Schizosaccharomyces pombe: one gene and its partners. Each later gene encodes a partner of the first gene's protein in a complex. Each region holds a gene or a part of one and is shown in the gene's direction. Other genes may lie near its edges.

Region 1 (8,069 bases):
CTTTCTTTCAAGCGTTCTAAAAACAGAGAATCATGCATTATATCGTAAAAAGTGTTTCAATTTTAACTCAAACAATGTTCTTTCTGTTATTGTCTGTTACTTTTTTACTTCTGTTTTTTATTGTCATCCTCTATTTATTTGGTAAGCCATTTAGTGTTGGATGAAAATGTATCATATTATTGGACATGCTTTATTTCCTTGATTTAATGGTTTTATTCCCAAAAAATGTATGAAATACCTTAAACCCCTATTCCTAGAAATCATTTTGAAGCTTTTCTATGGTTTATGCTGCCTAATATCAAACTTATGTTATTACATACCCCTTTTTATTATTTGATGGATTTAATATTGTTCATGAGGACATTCCTTAAGCGTATATGAATTGCTGGGAGAAACAAATATTTTCATTTTTTTTATTTAATCTTTTCGTAATTAATTTATTTTCTTTTTTCTCCATACTTCGTTGTGATTTGCACAGTAGGATGTCTTTTTTGTGAGAAAATCGATTTTTCCTGTTATGCTGTAATTTAAGGGGAGCATCGAGATTGTAGAAGGATGAAAATATAAAAACTTTAACAGTATAAAGGATTTTATGTTGATTAGCTTTAATTCCGATTTTTTAATTATAGGTCCATGCACATTGGAGTTTCATTAGGTCCTGGAACTTTCAGCAGACACTAGCCATTGTGCTTTTTTACTGTACATTCTCGAGATTTATGGTGTGGCTGGTAATGAGAAAATTAGTTCATACAAACTTTTTGACGGAGCAAATGTAGTATTAAGGTATTGGTCGCAAATCAGTAAACTTGAAAAAGGCCTTTAGGTATAAAAAAAAAAAAAAAAAAAAGACTTGCAGAAGCCATTTCAATTGACAACTCGAAGTTAATTAGATATTATTTTTTAAAAAAAATAAACAGCTTATTATTAGACAGCCACATTCATCCTTTCATACCAAACATTCAAGTTGTGAATTTACATCCTTTTCTGGATTACCAAAGGAATCATACATATCGTTATATACATTAGTGTATTAGTTTTTCTGAAAGAAAAAAAAAGCCACAGACCCTCTTTGAATAACGAAGCACTTAATAACTTTTTCCAGAAAACGCAACGAATATAACACAATACGAAGGGATGATCAAAATACTTTTACGCACTTAGATATCTGTTTAACGCAAAAGTATTTTAACGAAAAAAATGGTAAAAAACATTGCAGACATCTAGGTACTATTTCGAACTTTCTGTAAACTCTTTTAAAGATTTGAAAAGTCGCTTCGTTATTCACCTTCATTCCGTCGTACCTTCTTTGCCCATGCTATATAGGTAGTATTGGAGAATGTATTTTTGTGCTACGATGACTTGTTGAATGTTGTCGTAGTGGATAGCACTCATTTCATCTATACAAATAACAAAACTAAGAAAGGATAATCAAGTTGGTATTTTGGTCGTTTGCATAAAATGCTTTTACTTCCATATCAAGTCCGCGGCGAACTGGATAGATCCCAGTAGAAAGAAGCGCAAAGAAGAAAATTTGAAAGGGGCCTTTTCTCGGAGTACAATAGGACATCTCGCATCTGTGCAATGCCTCGGGGCACTAATGTAGGCTAAATTACTCACGTGGATAGTCAATTATCGAGGGTCGTAGGGATCCCGAGCCCTGATAGATAAAAACGTCGGGCTGCGGCAAAATGTATATCAGTGATCCTGTACACCAGAAAGTGGATGATTCAATTACCACGGTATCTATCAGATAAGTAAGATGGATTGTTTCTGAATTACACCAAATGAGGAGAAATCGATTACGCAAAATGAATTGATAAGCACAACATTTGACAGGGAATGAAAAATGTTCGTTTAACGGGGGTGGGATTTTAAAAATTTCATTTTTTACGCATTCAGGTGCTGAGAAAGACAAAACGTATGGAAGATCGTTAAACGAAGTAAGAAAAGAGAAGAAGAGAAAAGTGATGATTTGCAAAGGCTTCTCTAATGTTTCTTTTAGTATGGATACCTCAATAGAAAAAGTCAAAGACCCAAAAAAAAAATAAAATAAAGGTCCTTCTGATGAACAACAAAAACTTTTTTTTACCTCTATTCTTTTGCTCGATAACAAATGGAATGCTTTAGATTTCGAAAGACTTTTATTAATCATGTTATCAAGTGTTCCTCCATCATCATCTTCCTTGTATACGGATATGTCGAGGAATGTAATAGACTGGGCCAACTAAGCAAGTCATGTTTGATAGGCGATTTCTCAGCCAAAGTGGGTAGACTGTATTTGTATGGTTTTGATCATTTTTGGTACTAGTCAGTTTCATGTAAAGTTTGGATTTAATTATTGGGTTTGACTCAAATCTCAATTTCATATTTGTGTTAATGTTAGTTTCATTCATATACTTTCGTCAGCATTTGTTTATGAAATTTCATGTTTCTTTTGCGAGCTCTTTTACTACTGCCCCATCTAGTCTGCATCCGTTCTCATTATCAAGAAATACTGCGGTACTGGTGCGAGGGTAGATGATTATCAAGGTAGGATGAAAATCCGCTCCACAAAGTTGTTAGTGATAAGTGGTAAAAGACGGTATGTGTTTGAGGTAACCATAATCGCCAAGATAGACAAGATGCAAGTGGAGCATTGTCGGCGTTAAAGTTAGTATTTTGATTTGTTTGAGCTATCAACATGAGTAAGTGTGCGGCGGCAGGCGAGTCGCAAAAGGAAAAAAAAAAGCCTTCATTTAGTTATCAGAGCATCGCCGACGTATACCTTTTTTCCATTGATAAATTTGTGTTAGTCAGTGCAGTTGTTCAACACAATCGGTCCTCCGTTTATCGGTAGCTCTTTTTTGCACTTTGACAAAGCACAAAATTCGTTTACATGCAATCATCTATTACGGATGTAAATGTCCGTCATAATCAAAGGAATGCCAACAACGCCAAGTGAAAGCGAGATGAGTTGGGAAAATAGGATCGCAATTTGACATTCCTACGTCTTCCTACGTCTTTCTTGGAATGAAGTAATCAACTCTTCGTAAATTAGCAGGGACGAGGAAAATATGCGACTGTTATCATTTTTAGCGCAATAAGGATAAGAAATGAGTGATTTAGGAAATAAGCAACTGGGAGATATCCATTATCACTTCCATAAGCGATAATGATAAACCGCAGGAAAAACACGTGTGAGCATGAAAAAGGGTATATATACATAGACGGAAAGGGGCTTCATCTTTTCTTTTTCTTTTGTTAGGGGCGTGGTGAATGGAAGTATTTCTTTGTTTTATGGGGAAGCGTACAAAATTGTGAAACGAAACGATGTATGTGTATGGAGTGTAGGAGTCATTCATTTTCATGAAAGAAACTATAATAAAAATGGGGTATATGATTAGAAAGGGATGAGTGAATGTTTGAAAAAATTACTTATAAAATGGTAATGAATATGATTAGAAAAAGCGGTATGAGGAAGCATGGTTACTAAATGAACCAACTTGATTATATAAAAAAAAAGAAACAAATTAAAAACTAATTTTCATCTAACTCAGGAATTCCTCCTTTGAAAATAGCCAAACATTAACTAAAAAAATTAAAAAAAAAAAAAGTAGAAAAAAAATGTAAATATTACAAATACTTCCCAAACTCCCATAAAGCATTCTATGACGATTTCCTTACACCAAGCAATTTTCCTGTTGGATTTTATTTGTCTCGACTGGTTTGTGTATCCCTGTTTCCTTTCTTTTGTTTCCAAGAGAATCATTTCCAGGGAATTGATACATTTGTCCATGCTAAGATAAAATCCATTGTTCGGTCAACTCACTTCCGATATATCTGAAACGAAAAAACAAAACCTGATTAGAAAAGCTATATGTTTTCACATATAAGAAGACTATATGTCAAACCCCATCCTAGCGTCGATATGAAATGGAACTCTGTGAAATGATAGATGTGGGGGACCTAAAAGATAAACCCCAGTGTAGTGAAATCTCGATGCTTTTGAAACTGAATAAAACCCGAGGATATTAAGACAAGTAGTTTATTAAAAAAAAAGGTTTTCCGATCGTAGTTGAGTAAAGTTTGAAAATTCAAACAATAATTAAAACAACGGATGCACATCACGCTGCTGCGTCTTCTCTTGCACGGACATTGACTTCCGTATGTAATTTGTCTAACGATCGTGCTCTTTCCATTTCTTTTTTCCTTTAAAATACTCATTTGCCTATCTTCCTCATAAGATGCCTAGCATGTCGAGCTTACGGAGAATTTTTATTTCCTTTGATTTGGACAAAGCACCTCATCCAACATGATTGTGATCGGAGCTTTGGAGCACTTTTCATCAGTTCCGTCTTCATCCTCCTTCTACACTTCCATGGAAATTATGCAAAACTTGATAATTCCATCCTTACCAATAATTTTGCCTATTTCCACGGAACTGACCCGAAAAATTTAGCAAAAGGAACGATTTCGGTATTACTTATTAGCTTGGAAATTATGTCTCGCTAAACCATATAACGAAAGTTTGGTTTTTTATCAGTAAGCGAAAAATTTACCGTCCCCCTTTTCCTTCTTGTCAGCTACATAAAAGATAGGTGCGCTGCGCTGGTCGCCTTTTTCTGCCACTCTTTCCACGCTATTTTACGCTCTTATTCATTTTTGAGGAATACTAACGTCGGCCGGTATTGTTGGAAATCGCTGCAATTTGTTAAATTGAAATACCACTCAAGTGGGTAATGGTCTCCTTTAATTGTCGATACTGAAGGTTGATTGCATTTTAGTGCGGTGTCTTAAAAGCTGCACTCGCCCATCACACACGCGTTTGGTTTGTTTACCTTCCATCTACCTGTCTGCCTTCTTTCACTTTCACCTTACACCATGCGTCGTTCTACCATTGTGCCAACTAGTCGAACAAGCAGTTCATCTCCATCTCCCAGTCAAATGAAAAGCTTTCAAATGAATCGTTTGGTGGACCAACTGTCCAAGTTGCAATCCAACATGTCTCATTTGGAAAACCACTTACATGTTACCGCAATTCAAGCAGAAGCCATCCGACGTCTTGGTGCTCTTCAGGCCTCGCTTCTGATGGCGTCTGGTCGCGTTATGTCCGAAGCGAGGATTCAAAAGTCTTCAGATGCTGTGGAAGAAGACGTTCCTATGTGAGTCTCCAACTTTTTTGATGCAGACCTCAAATGACAATGATAAAAAGGAGAATACAAGAGACAAAGTGCCCCAATGAAGGAGAAATATAACAGGAAAGGAAGTAGGAATGTGCTCTTTCTTAATTAGATGGGGCTATTTCTTATTTTACTGCAACAATGCGGTATTTGGGGCTTCTTTCAATATGTGGGTGTTGGAGTTGTATCAACTATGCATCCGGAATACGGCTTTTCGGCATTTTACGCTATGGGAGTTTTGCGACTCTCGGGCTGCACTCCCGAAACCTATGTTACTGCATTGTACGATGCAGTTCTGTAAAAAATAGCAGGCTAAAAGAGGGTGTTCTAGTTCGTCTAATAAGTGATCTCGTTCATTGGTCAGCTCGGTCGGCTAAGTAACCAAGGGAAACTGCAAAAATTGGATACCAGAAATGATTGGTCAATTGCGCTTCACAAAACAGTCAGTGTACCAATCATATGGTTTTTATTTGAGATAGCGCACAATCATTGGATAGCTAGCTAAAAAAAGGTAAAAGTGGTTCCTTTCGTTAGGCTTCTTTATTTTCACCTTACGATTTACCGAAGAGAGCTTCTTCGACCTCGCTTAGATGGGTGTGAACAACGCCGTCCCTTTGCCAACCTCAACGAAAAAAGAAAAGCAGGTTGTACTAATTTTAAACGTTTCAAACGATTTTGTAAATTGATTTCTTTAAGCTTTGGCTCCTCCTTATTACATACCTAATCAATAAATATCTGTTTTCTTTTGCAGTTTCTTCTTTTTTTGCTCTCTTCCAGGGAAAACGGAAATTTGATTTGAGGAAGCCATAGCGCCACCATTCCCCAATCTGTCTACAAATTACTTTTTTTTGTTCCACCACACCTCTGGATTGTATTCTAGCTTATATCTGTTTTATTTTTCTATATTTGTTTTGGTATTTTAGTTCGTTTTTGTTGTTTTATTTCCCCTTTTTAGATCGTTTTTGTTTTGGGGTTCACGTCTTTTTTGTTTAAAGTACCTGTTCATATCAAAGCAACTTGAACTTCTTGCTATTTTTACCTTCGCTCGTGTGGTTTGCACAATCATTTCAAAGTAGTACCTAACTAAACAACGTTGTTGGTGTGTCTTGGTATTCACTGCCATTTCGTGTTTTCCATTTAAAGAAGCTTTCTTGGTCCTAGCTTAAGATTTCCTGTTTTTTTATATCTTACCTTATATTATTATTTTTTTGTGATTTTTTACTACAACTTTTTTTTTGTTTAACGTTTGAGAGGCGATCTCTTTCGTTCATTTCATTCGTTTATTTTTTGTTTCGGTTTTTTATTCGGAAACTTCCCTTTTTCTTTCTTATCCACATTTCAAGCTGGCTGAAGTTACTGATTTTTTGGGTATCATTTTTGGATATATCCCTGCTTTGTGATTAAACATTTTTTGCATAAAACCTTACTTATGGATCTAAAGTTTTCCAATTTTTTCAAGGAAGCGGAACATCCAGCACTTGTCAAAAAATTTGACAAATCTACCACGGACGAATCTTCCTCCAAAGAAGATTATTCCACGATGTCAGACCTCTGGAAAATGTTTTCCAAGGCAAAGTCGGAACTGTCTAATGGTCGTCGTGTCGAGAACTTGACATGGCGTTTAATGTCTATAAATTTGCAAAAGAACTTAACACCAAATGGTGATTCAAATACTTTAACCCCAGACACTTTCTCTGATCCCACTGCCCCTTCTAGTGCTCAATCCGTTCCTCCTACTTCTTCTGCTGAAACCACTGCCGATAACTCAGATACTGAAATGAAATTAAACCCAATACCTGCATATAGCGTACCTGCTGATACCACTGGAAGCTCGTTGATGGAATTTAATTATATTCAGCGTCGCGTGCGTAAAACAAGCTTTGACGAGTCTACTGCAAAAAGTAAAAAGCGCTCTATTGCCGATTCTCATTTTCCAGATCCCAATGCTATGCAAAGACCCCATGATTTGGAATCCCAACCATTTAGCTACCCAAAGATTCATGCTTCTAATTCTTTTAATTTCGTTAAGAGAGACATTGACAGCTCTAATTTTTCTAATCTTGACGCCTCAGCATTGCCTATATCTCCTCCTTCTGACTTTTTTAGTGTTCATTCTCACAATTTGCCTAATGCTCCCCCTTCCATTCCCGCTAATTCTAATAATTCTGCTTCTCCTAATCAGCGTATCAAAGCTTCTCCAAAGCATGCAGATACGGATGTTTTGGGATTGGACTTTGATATGACTCCATCAGAACCTTCATCATTTCCAGAAAATGGAGGCTTTCCCTCATTTGTTGACGCCAATACTCATGAACAAACTCTTTTTCCTTCTTCCGCCACCAACTCCTTTAGTTTTGAGCATGGCTCTGCTGGATTTCCCATTCCAGGCAGTGTTCCTTCCACCTCATATCATGCTAATACTGCATCAGAAGATGGCTTCAGCTCATCCTATAATAGCCAAGGGCTTTTTGGAATTTCATCACCTTTAAGTTCTGGTGTCACACCTAATCAATCATTTTTTCCCGATGTTTCGGGAAATAATATCTTTGATGTCTCTAGAAACAATCATGAAGTTTCGTCGCCATTAATCCAGTCACCAGGATCATATGTCAGTATGCCATCTATCAATATGGTTAGTTCGCTACCTATCTCGGCCCCTGTACCGAACTCGAACTCTCAATTCCCCCGTCGTCCTAATACTTTCCGTACGAATTCAAGCAAATCTGTAGGTCAAGGTTCTTCTGGCGTTGATTCAAATCAGGAAAATGCTGAATCATTTAATCCTTCTATTTCGAGCCACAATAGTGCTGAATGGGCATCTGGTGAAACTACCGGGCATTCATCCAACAGTCCTCTCCCTGGTTCTGATATGTTTTCTCCGCAATTCATGCGTGTTGGAACCGCTATGGG
Region 2 (3,185 bases), on another chromosome or scaffold:
AATTTTCGTCAAAACCCTTACGGGTAAGACGATTACCCTTGAGGTGGAGTCCTCTGACACTATTGATAATGTCAAGAGCAAAATCCAAGACAAAGAAGGAATTCCTCCTGATCAACAACGTCTTATTTTCGCTGGTAAGCAGTTAGAAGATGGACGTACTTTGTCTGATTACAACATCCAAAAGGAGTCCACTCTTCACCTCGTTTTGCGTCTTCGTGGTGGTGGTAAGAAGCGTAAAAAGAAGACTTACACTACTCCCAAGAAGATCAAGCACAAGCACAAGAAGGTTGAGCTCGCCGTCCTCAAGTACTACAAGGTTGAGGATGATGGAAGCGTTAAGCGTCTTCGTCGTGAGTGTCCTAACTGTGGTGCATCCACCTTCATGGCCAACCACAAGGACCGCCTTTACTGTGGTAGATGCCACTTGACCCTCAAATTGGAAGCTTAAATGAGTTTGCGATAAAATAAATTAACACTTTTTTAAGTGATATTTTGTAATATATCTATATTGCTCATTGTAATGTGCTATATTGAATTGAAAATACTTATATTGTAAATGGTTATGAAAACATTTCATTTGTATTATATTTCTAGTAGTCCCATGATGATTTTTTTAAATAAATAATCTAAACATAAGCCAAACTAAACAAGCAAGCTACGGTTGAATGATTGGTGGAATTTTCAACAGTTTTTATATGCGCAAACGCGATTATTGAAAACGCCATTGAGGAATCATGAGTATTTCGAGGACATTAGATCTAAACTCAAGTTTTTAGTAAAAGGTAGTAAATATAGGAAGATGCATTCTTTTATTAATAAAAGAATAAAAAGAATTGAGTCGTAAAACATAGCGTTTAGATTGAGTAAATTTAAACATTACCAATCCATTTCAGTCGGTCGTAAACGGTTCTCGCTCGTATATATTTGTCAACATTCCAATAGCAGTTGGCAAAGTTGGTACCTGCAGCATCGCAGCATAAGCGGACTTTTTCATTTTGAGCATCATCATCATCTAGCTTGGCCCAATTTAAAGAGTGCTGCTCCCATTCACTGAAATACGCATAATAGCGAGCAAGTGCTGCAGTCTTTTCAGCGCTATCTTCGATGACTGCATCATTCTCATGCTCTACTGGCTCTATGTATTGGAATATCTTTTTGTTGCCTCCTCCTAAAGAAGTAGGAATTACCGAATAGTCTATGTATTTTTCGAGGTCGTTTGCGCTCTGAGTAAAAACAATTTTCGCAGCAATCTCTGGTTTAATCCATCCCTTAATAATGTTCCAAACACTTCTGAAAATCCAAGGAGATTTATGAAGAATACAAACACCAAGAGATTGTGGGTAATAATACTCCAAACACGATGCCAAATACTTAACGAAAGAATAATCCATATTATGTAGAGAAAAGTTACTAAGGTCGAACAGAACATTCACATTTTGAGGAGAGTCCATAGAGTCCTTCAAAGTCTTTTGTGGTCGCAGAAAAAGTCGCATAGTTTCCATTACCCACACGGTCATCTCACGAAGAGAATTCTGAGTCAATTTTGAGGGTTGATGTAAATGGACTTGAATATAGCAGATAGGGCGATCAGATAAGTCCCTTCCCAACATAGTTACCTTTCCAGTTCTCAATTGTTCCAAGAACTGATCATCATTTGTCTCTTTGGCATAAAGCTCACCCCGCTCAACGATACGCTCAACACCTGTATCTACGCGCCATTGTAGCGTATTGATTAACTTTTGACTTGCTTCATGTGAATCGTTATTGCAAGAAGCCAAAAATCGTACTAAGATAGCGTCGGGTGAGTCGCATTTTGCTAATCGTATGAACGATTCGCGATATTCTTTATGCTCTTGAAACCTAGGCCATGTCTTTTGAATCATCAACTTTAAAGGTGAATAACTTTCAAAGCTCACTTTTTCGTCTACAGTCTCAGGCTCAGGCTGTTTTTGAGAACGTCGGAAGAAAAATGTTCCTGCTGCTGCTGCCGAAAGCGCTGTAGAACATCTACATCTCACCCAAAGTCGCGAAAACATGGAGAAATACCAGAAAGCTACTCAAAATCCTTTAGAAAATGTTGATAATGTGAAAATAGAAAGTGAGAATGCAATCCCTTCGAATCTCCAAGCCTTTACTAAGTCACTGGCTGTTTTGGATGATAATGTGAGTGAATTTCGTAAACGAATGAATCACCTGTCAGCAACCAAACAAATACTCGACAATTTCAACGAATCGTTTTCTTCTTTTCTTTATGGATTGCAAATCAATGCTTTTTGCGTAGATTATGAAAATGCACCGCTTTCGGAAAGTTTTTTACTCCAAGCTAAGAAAGACCAATTTAAGGCAACGCTGATGACTCGTACTGGTCATTCGATTTCTGACCCTCCCTACGATGGTGGTGTTATTTCTCACGATCCCAATTTTGCAACTGCAGACGAAACATTTGCTACAAATGACACTTCTTTCATTGAACGGCCAGAAACCTATTCCGCTTCCAGATAAATTTATTTAAGCAAGGGAGACTGGTTGAAGTTTTTTCTTTTTCATTTATTATTATAATAGTCGAAGGGAATAACCTAGCATATCAGGTTGGATAATGAAACAACGGAATCATAATGATCATTCAATTTTACGATTTATATACAATTTTTAACATTTTAATGCACATTTTTCTTCAGCGAAGTGAACTGTAGACAATTGCTTTAAAAGTTCTAGAAAGCGTTCAGTAAACTCATATGTAATAGCTTCTCCAATCTTCAATTTCCAATAAAATGAATATGTATTTGTAGTCTATTTTCGATACTCACATTTACAACTTCAGTGGCTCTTTCAATACCTCAAATATGTAACACTAATTGAACCTATTTGAAGTGTCGAAATTTGTTCACATTCTATATTTGTAATTTTAAACATTGGAGCAATTACACTTGTTTTCAAGTATACAACTAGTTTTCGTTTTACTTCAAAATGCATTTCTTTGTTCGGAAGTACCGCGGCAAAGCAGCGTATGTAAGTGTATAGCCGCGGGTCATTCCACTTGTCTCAAGCCAGTCATTAGAACAATATACGTATCGGCCAATTGTGCTGAAAATGGTATCGAATATGTCTCGCTTACTATTTTGTGGATTTAACCAGGATTCAAAGTACTTATTTTATTGTTTTTGATATCAACATCACTAATACTT
Region 3 (3,502 bases), on another chromosome or scaffold:
TGAAATACTAATTGGTTAATCATGACAAGGTCACCTACAGTAAGGTTGGAAGTTACAATTCCACGACAACCCATGTACATCATCAAAGTAAGAGCGGTAGAGAATATAATAGCCTGTCCTGAATTCAAAAAGGCCAAAGAAGATGCTACCTTAACGTTGGCTTTTTCGTAGGCGGAAAGATGCTTTTCATATCTGCTCATTTCGTATGATTCGTTATTAAAAGTTTTAACGGCTTCATAATTAATCAGAGATTCAATTGCCGCGGCTGATGCTTTACTGTCAGCAGCATTTGCTTGACGACGGAATACAGTTCTCCAGGATGTCGTCCTAACAGTAAAAAGAGCATAAAGAGCAACGGTTGTAGCAGCAATGGCCGAAAACGAAGGTCCGTACTTGTAAGTGAGAATACCACTCACCATAGCAATTTCAAGGGTAATAGGAATGATGTGTAACACCATGGAGGAAAGAATGAAACTAATACCTTTTGTACCACGATCCATTGCTCTAGTAATACTTCCTGTTTGCTTTGAGAGATGAAAATTCATGTCAAGGTTCAACAGATGTTGATAGACATTGCTAGAAACACTTCGAATAGCGCTTTGCGACACAATTGCAAAAACGCTATTCCTTAACTCTTGAAAAACGGTAGAAAATATTCTAGCAAAGCCATAACCGAGAACAACAGCTCCTACAGTAGACCACAATGCTCCTACTTCTTGAACAAGTGTTGTATTCATGGTATCGATAATTGATTTAAAGTAAAAAGGAACTTGGACGTTAAGAATTTTGGCAGCTACAAGTAGTGCGAGAGCCGAAACAACTCTAACTTTCAAATTAGTCTTCCCCTTGGGCCAAATATATTGAAGCATGTCCTTAACAATCATTTGTCCTGTTACATTTTTATCATCTGGTACATCGGAAGCAAGTTTAACAGAAGTATTCAGTGGCTCTTTTTCTTTTGATTTGTTATTCCATAACGCTTTTGAAGCCGAATTATTTCCATTTCTAAGTGGGAAACATTGCTTAGATGCAAAATTGGAAAACCGCAGTATATGTTGAAGAGGTAATATATTTGACTTTCTTAAAACAAGATAAGTTCCACGAGAATTAAGAAAAGAGCGAGCTGGAATATTTCTTGGCGAGCTGATTAATTTCCAGGGACATCGTTCTAGCATTTTTATTAATACAACACTTTAAGATGTCAGAGCTTCAAGCTGTTAGTTATACCCAATATACTGCTCTTCTATTTAAGATAATTAAAGTTTTTAAATCTATATTTAAATAGAATAAACTTGGCTGATAGAATATGAAAAACAGACGAAACGTTCAGTCAGAAAAACCTCAAATAGCCTCCAAAGAGGCAACTTTTTAATAGATGGTATATATGAATAAAAGAACTAAGAGAAGGATAATTCTCAAACCTTTAGTTCTATAAATCTGGCAGACTTAGAAAGTTGTAGATTTTGATTAGATCACGATTGCGAAGTAGAGTCCAACAATTGCAAACTCATCAAAACTGCACTGAGGATTACGAAATTTTTAGCGTGTATTAACCTTTATAAAAGTTTTACATATAATTATTAATGGATAATCTGAGCTGAAGAAATGTGTGCCTAAAGCGTAAACGTAAGAATGATTCGGTGTAGCAAATAAAGGAAAATAGCAAGGAATGAACGCAATGCTTTACCTTTGTTAAAATAATTTGCTGAGCGAGAACAGAATTTCAAAAACAGGCACAGGTGATTTCCATTATATCAAAGATACCAAACGTTTATTACGTTTTGGTTAAACCACCTGCACACACCCAGAGATTGCATACACTTTTGGCAACTCTGGTAAAGTGAATTGAAACATACCTTTTACTAATTACGAGTCGAATTAGTGTTTTTGATGACTTATTAAATAAATGTCTGATTTGTTGAATTATTTACAGTCTATTGCTGCTACATCAGAAAAACTTTTGGAACCGGAAAACCCAAACGCAGCACGTTTCACAGACGCGGTGCTACATACTCATGCTATAACTGATTTAATTCGCGATACTCAGAAGGAAGAACTAATTGCAGCTGAGTTCAAATCTCTACCGAAGGATTGGAGTGAAAGGTTGGCATCAGAAAACCCTGCAGACTACGTTGCTTGTATTGAGGAACTACTAGATATATATCCTATGCAAGGTGGCCGTGAATATTTGGAGACTCTGGTTGAGAAATACAACTTACATATGTCAGGAATTGAGAATTTGGAAAACGTTTTACTGGAACAGAAAGAGCAATTGCAGCAACTTGAAAAACGACAAACCGATCAGGTGTCTGCTAGGGAGAATATTCTACAGCGTGAAACTTCTGAAATCCAAAGACTTGAAAGAGAAATTGAAAAAGTGAAGCAACTGATACAATCTTAGGAAGGCTATTTGCGTTGGTAGTCAGATCGACTTTTCGTATTGGTGAACATTTAGAAAAGGAGAAGCGAGGTCGTTGTTTTATCATGGATTTGAGCAAAGAACAAGAAATGTATTTAAGCGAGGATATAAAAGACCATGGACTCATTCCTTTGAAGTTACATCCTCAAAGAAGCACCCGAGATATTTCTGATTGCAGTTATCCTTCGACGTCAGATGATCGATCGGCTTACTCCCAATACAAACTGATGAAGCTGAAGAGGAAAAAAAGAAGTCGATGTTTTGATATATCATCCTTTAAAAAGCATATTGAAATGTCGCTTGCTAAGAAAAAAGCAAGTTCGTCTACTGTTACTTTGAAGGCTACAAAAGAGCTAGAGGATTATGAATACCTAGAATATGAAAAACATAAAGAGAAGAGAAGAGAATCTTTGGACTGTTTGCTCCAGGAATTCTCTAAAGCGGCAAAGATATTGAACGAAGATAATTAGCAAACTAAGTACATTACAACTCAGGAGCATAATAACTCATTGTTTTTGTAATATTCTCATTTATAGAATAGTATGTGAAAAATACAATAATGTTCATGATAAGTTAAAGACGGCAATTAGATTACTGGCTCAACGCCAGCTTTTGCATTGGACTCATTTGTTGTAATGAGTTCTTAATATTTATACAAACATAAGTACATACTTGTTCTTAAAAGTTCTAAAAGATTTTATTTAAGATATAAATAAAAGTTCAATAGCATAGTATGATAGCAAGTAATGGAACACTATGTATTTATTCTATATTTGATTATTAATATAGAGTAAAAGTCAGGTTCATAGTGTTTCTATTGACTCGTCAACTATAATTATTTTTTGTTGTTACTGAATGATAGAATTTGAACGAATGTTTTAATTGCTAATACCAAGGCTGCTGCTCCACCTTAACAATCACACATTACGCCAAAAAAATTATTTACTCGATTTCTCAAAAAAAACAATAAAAAAGGATCAATAAGAATACCTTTATTAAGAAAAACTTCTTCTTTGGAAAATTAAAGAATACACTTACTGTTGTTTATTTCAGTGTTTGTTATTGTATTCACAATTATTTATT

Evidence for each region.
Region 2: dad5 (region 1) and dam1 share a complex: the UniProt entries of both Schizosaccharomyces pombe proteins name them as parts of the DASH complex.
Region 3: dad5 (region 1) and spc34 share a complex: the UniProt entries of both Schizosaccharomyces pombe proteins name them as parts of the DASH complex.

Annotation. Positions count from the first base shown.
Region 1 is NC_003421.2:1,667,397-1,675,465, reverse strand, and holds dad5 (DASH complex subunit Dad5), read left to right. Parts: upstream 1-4,603; 5' UTR 4,604-4,860; coding exon 4,861-5,145; 3' UTR 5,146-5,522; downstream 5,523-8,069. Other genes in the region: cfh2 (chitin synthase regulatory factor), read left to right, coding at 1-48; SPOM_SPCC417.03 (uncharacterized protein), read right to left, coding at 3,102-3,223, 3,415-3,463; DNA-binding transcription factor, nutrient sensing, zf-GATA-type Gaf1, read left to right, coding at 6,589-8,069. UniProt on the Schizosaccharomyces pombe protein: Component of the DASH complex that connects microtubules with kinetochores and couples microtubule depolymerisation to chromosome movement; it is involved in retrieving kinetochores to the spindle poles before their re-orientation on the spindle in early mitosis and allows microtubule depolymerization to pull chromosomes apart and resist detachment during anaphase.
Region 2 is NC_003424.3:3,105,691-3,108,875, reverse strand, and holds dam1 (DASH complex subunit Dam1), read left to right. Parts: upstream 1-2,034; coding exon 2,035-2,502; 3' UTR 2,503-2,685; downstream 2,686-3,185. Other genes in the region: ubi5 (ubiquitin-40S ribosomal protein S31 fusion protein), read left to right, coding at 1-448; csr101 (sec14 family protein), read right to left, coding at 870-2,036; WD repeat-containing protein Atg1801, read left to right, coding at 2,968-3,005. UniProt on the Schizosaccharomyces pombe protein: Component of the DASH complex that connects microtubules with kinetochores and couples microtubule depolymerisation to chromosome movement; it is involved in retrieving kinetochores to the spindle poles before their re-orientation on the spindle in early mitosis and allows microtubule depolymerization to pull chromosomes apart and resist detachment during anaphase.
Region 3 is NC_003424.3:3,673,199-3,676,700, reverse strand, and holds spc34 (DASH complex subunit Spc34), read left to right. Parts: upstream 1-1,806; 5' UTR 1,807-1,906; coding exon 1,907-2,401; 3' UTR 2,402-3,002; downstream 3,003-3,502. Other genes in the region: ABC family Fe transporter Atm1, read right to left, coding at 1-1,175. UniProt on the Schizosaccharomyces pombe protein: Component of the DASH complex that connects microtubules with kinetochores and couples microtubule depolymerisation to chromosome movement; it is involved in retrieving kinetochores to the spindle poles before their re-orientation on the spindle in early mitosis and allows microtubule depolymerization to pull chromosomes apart and resist detachment during anaphase.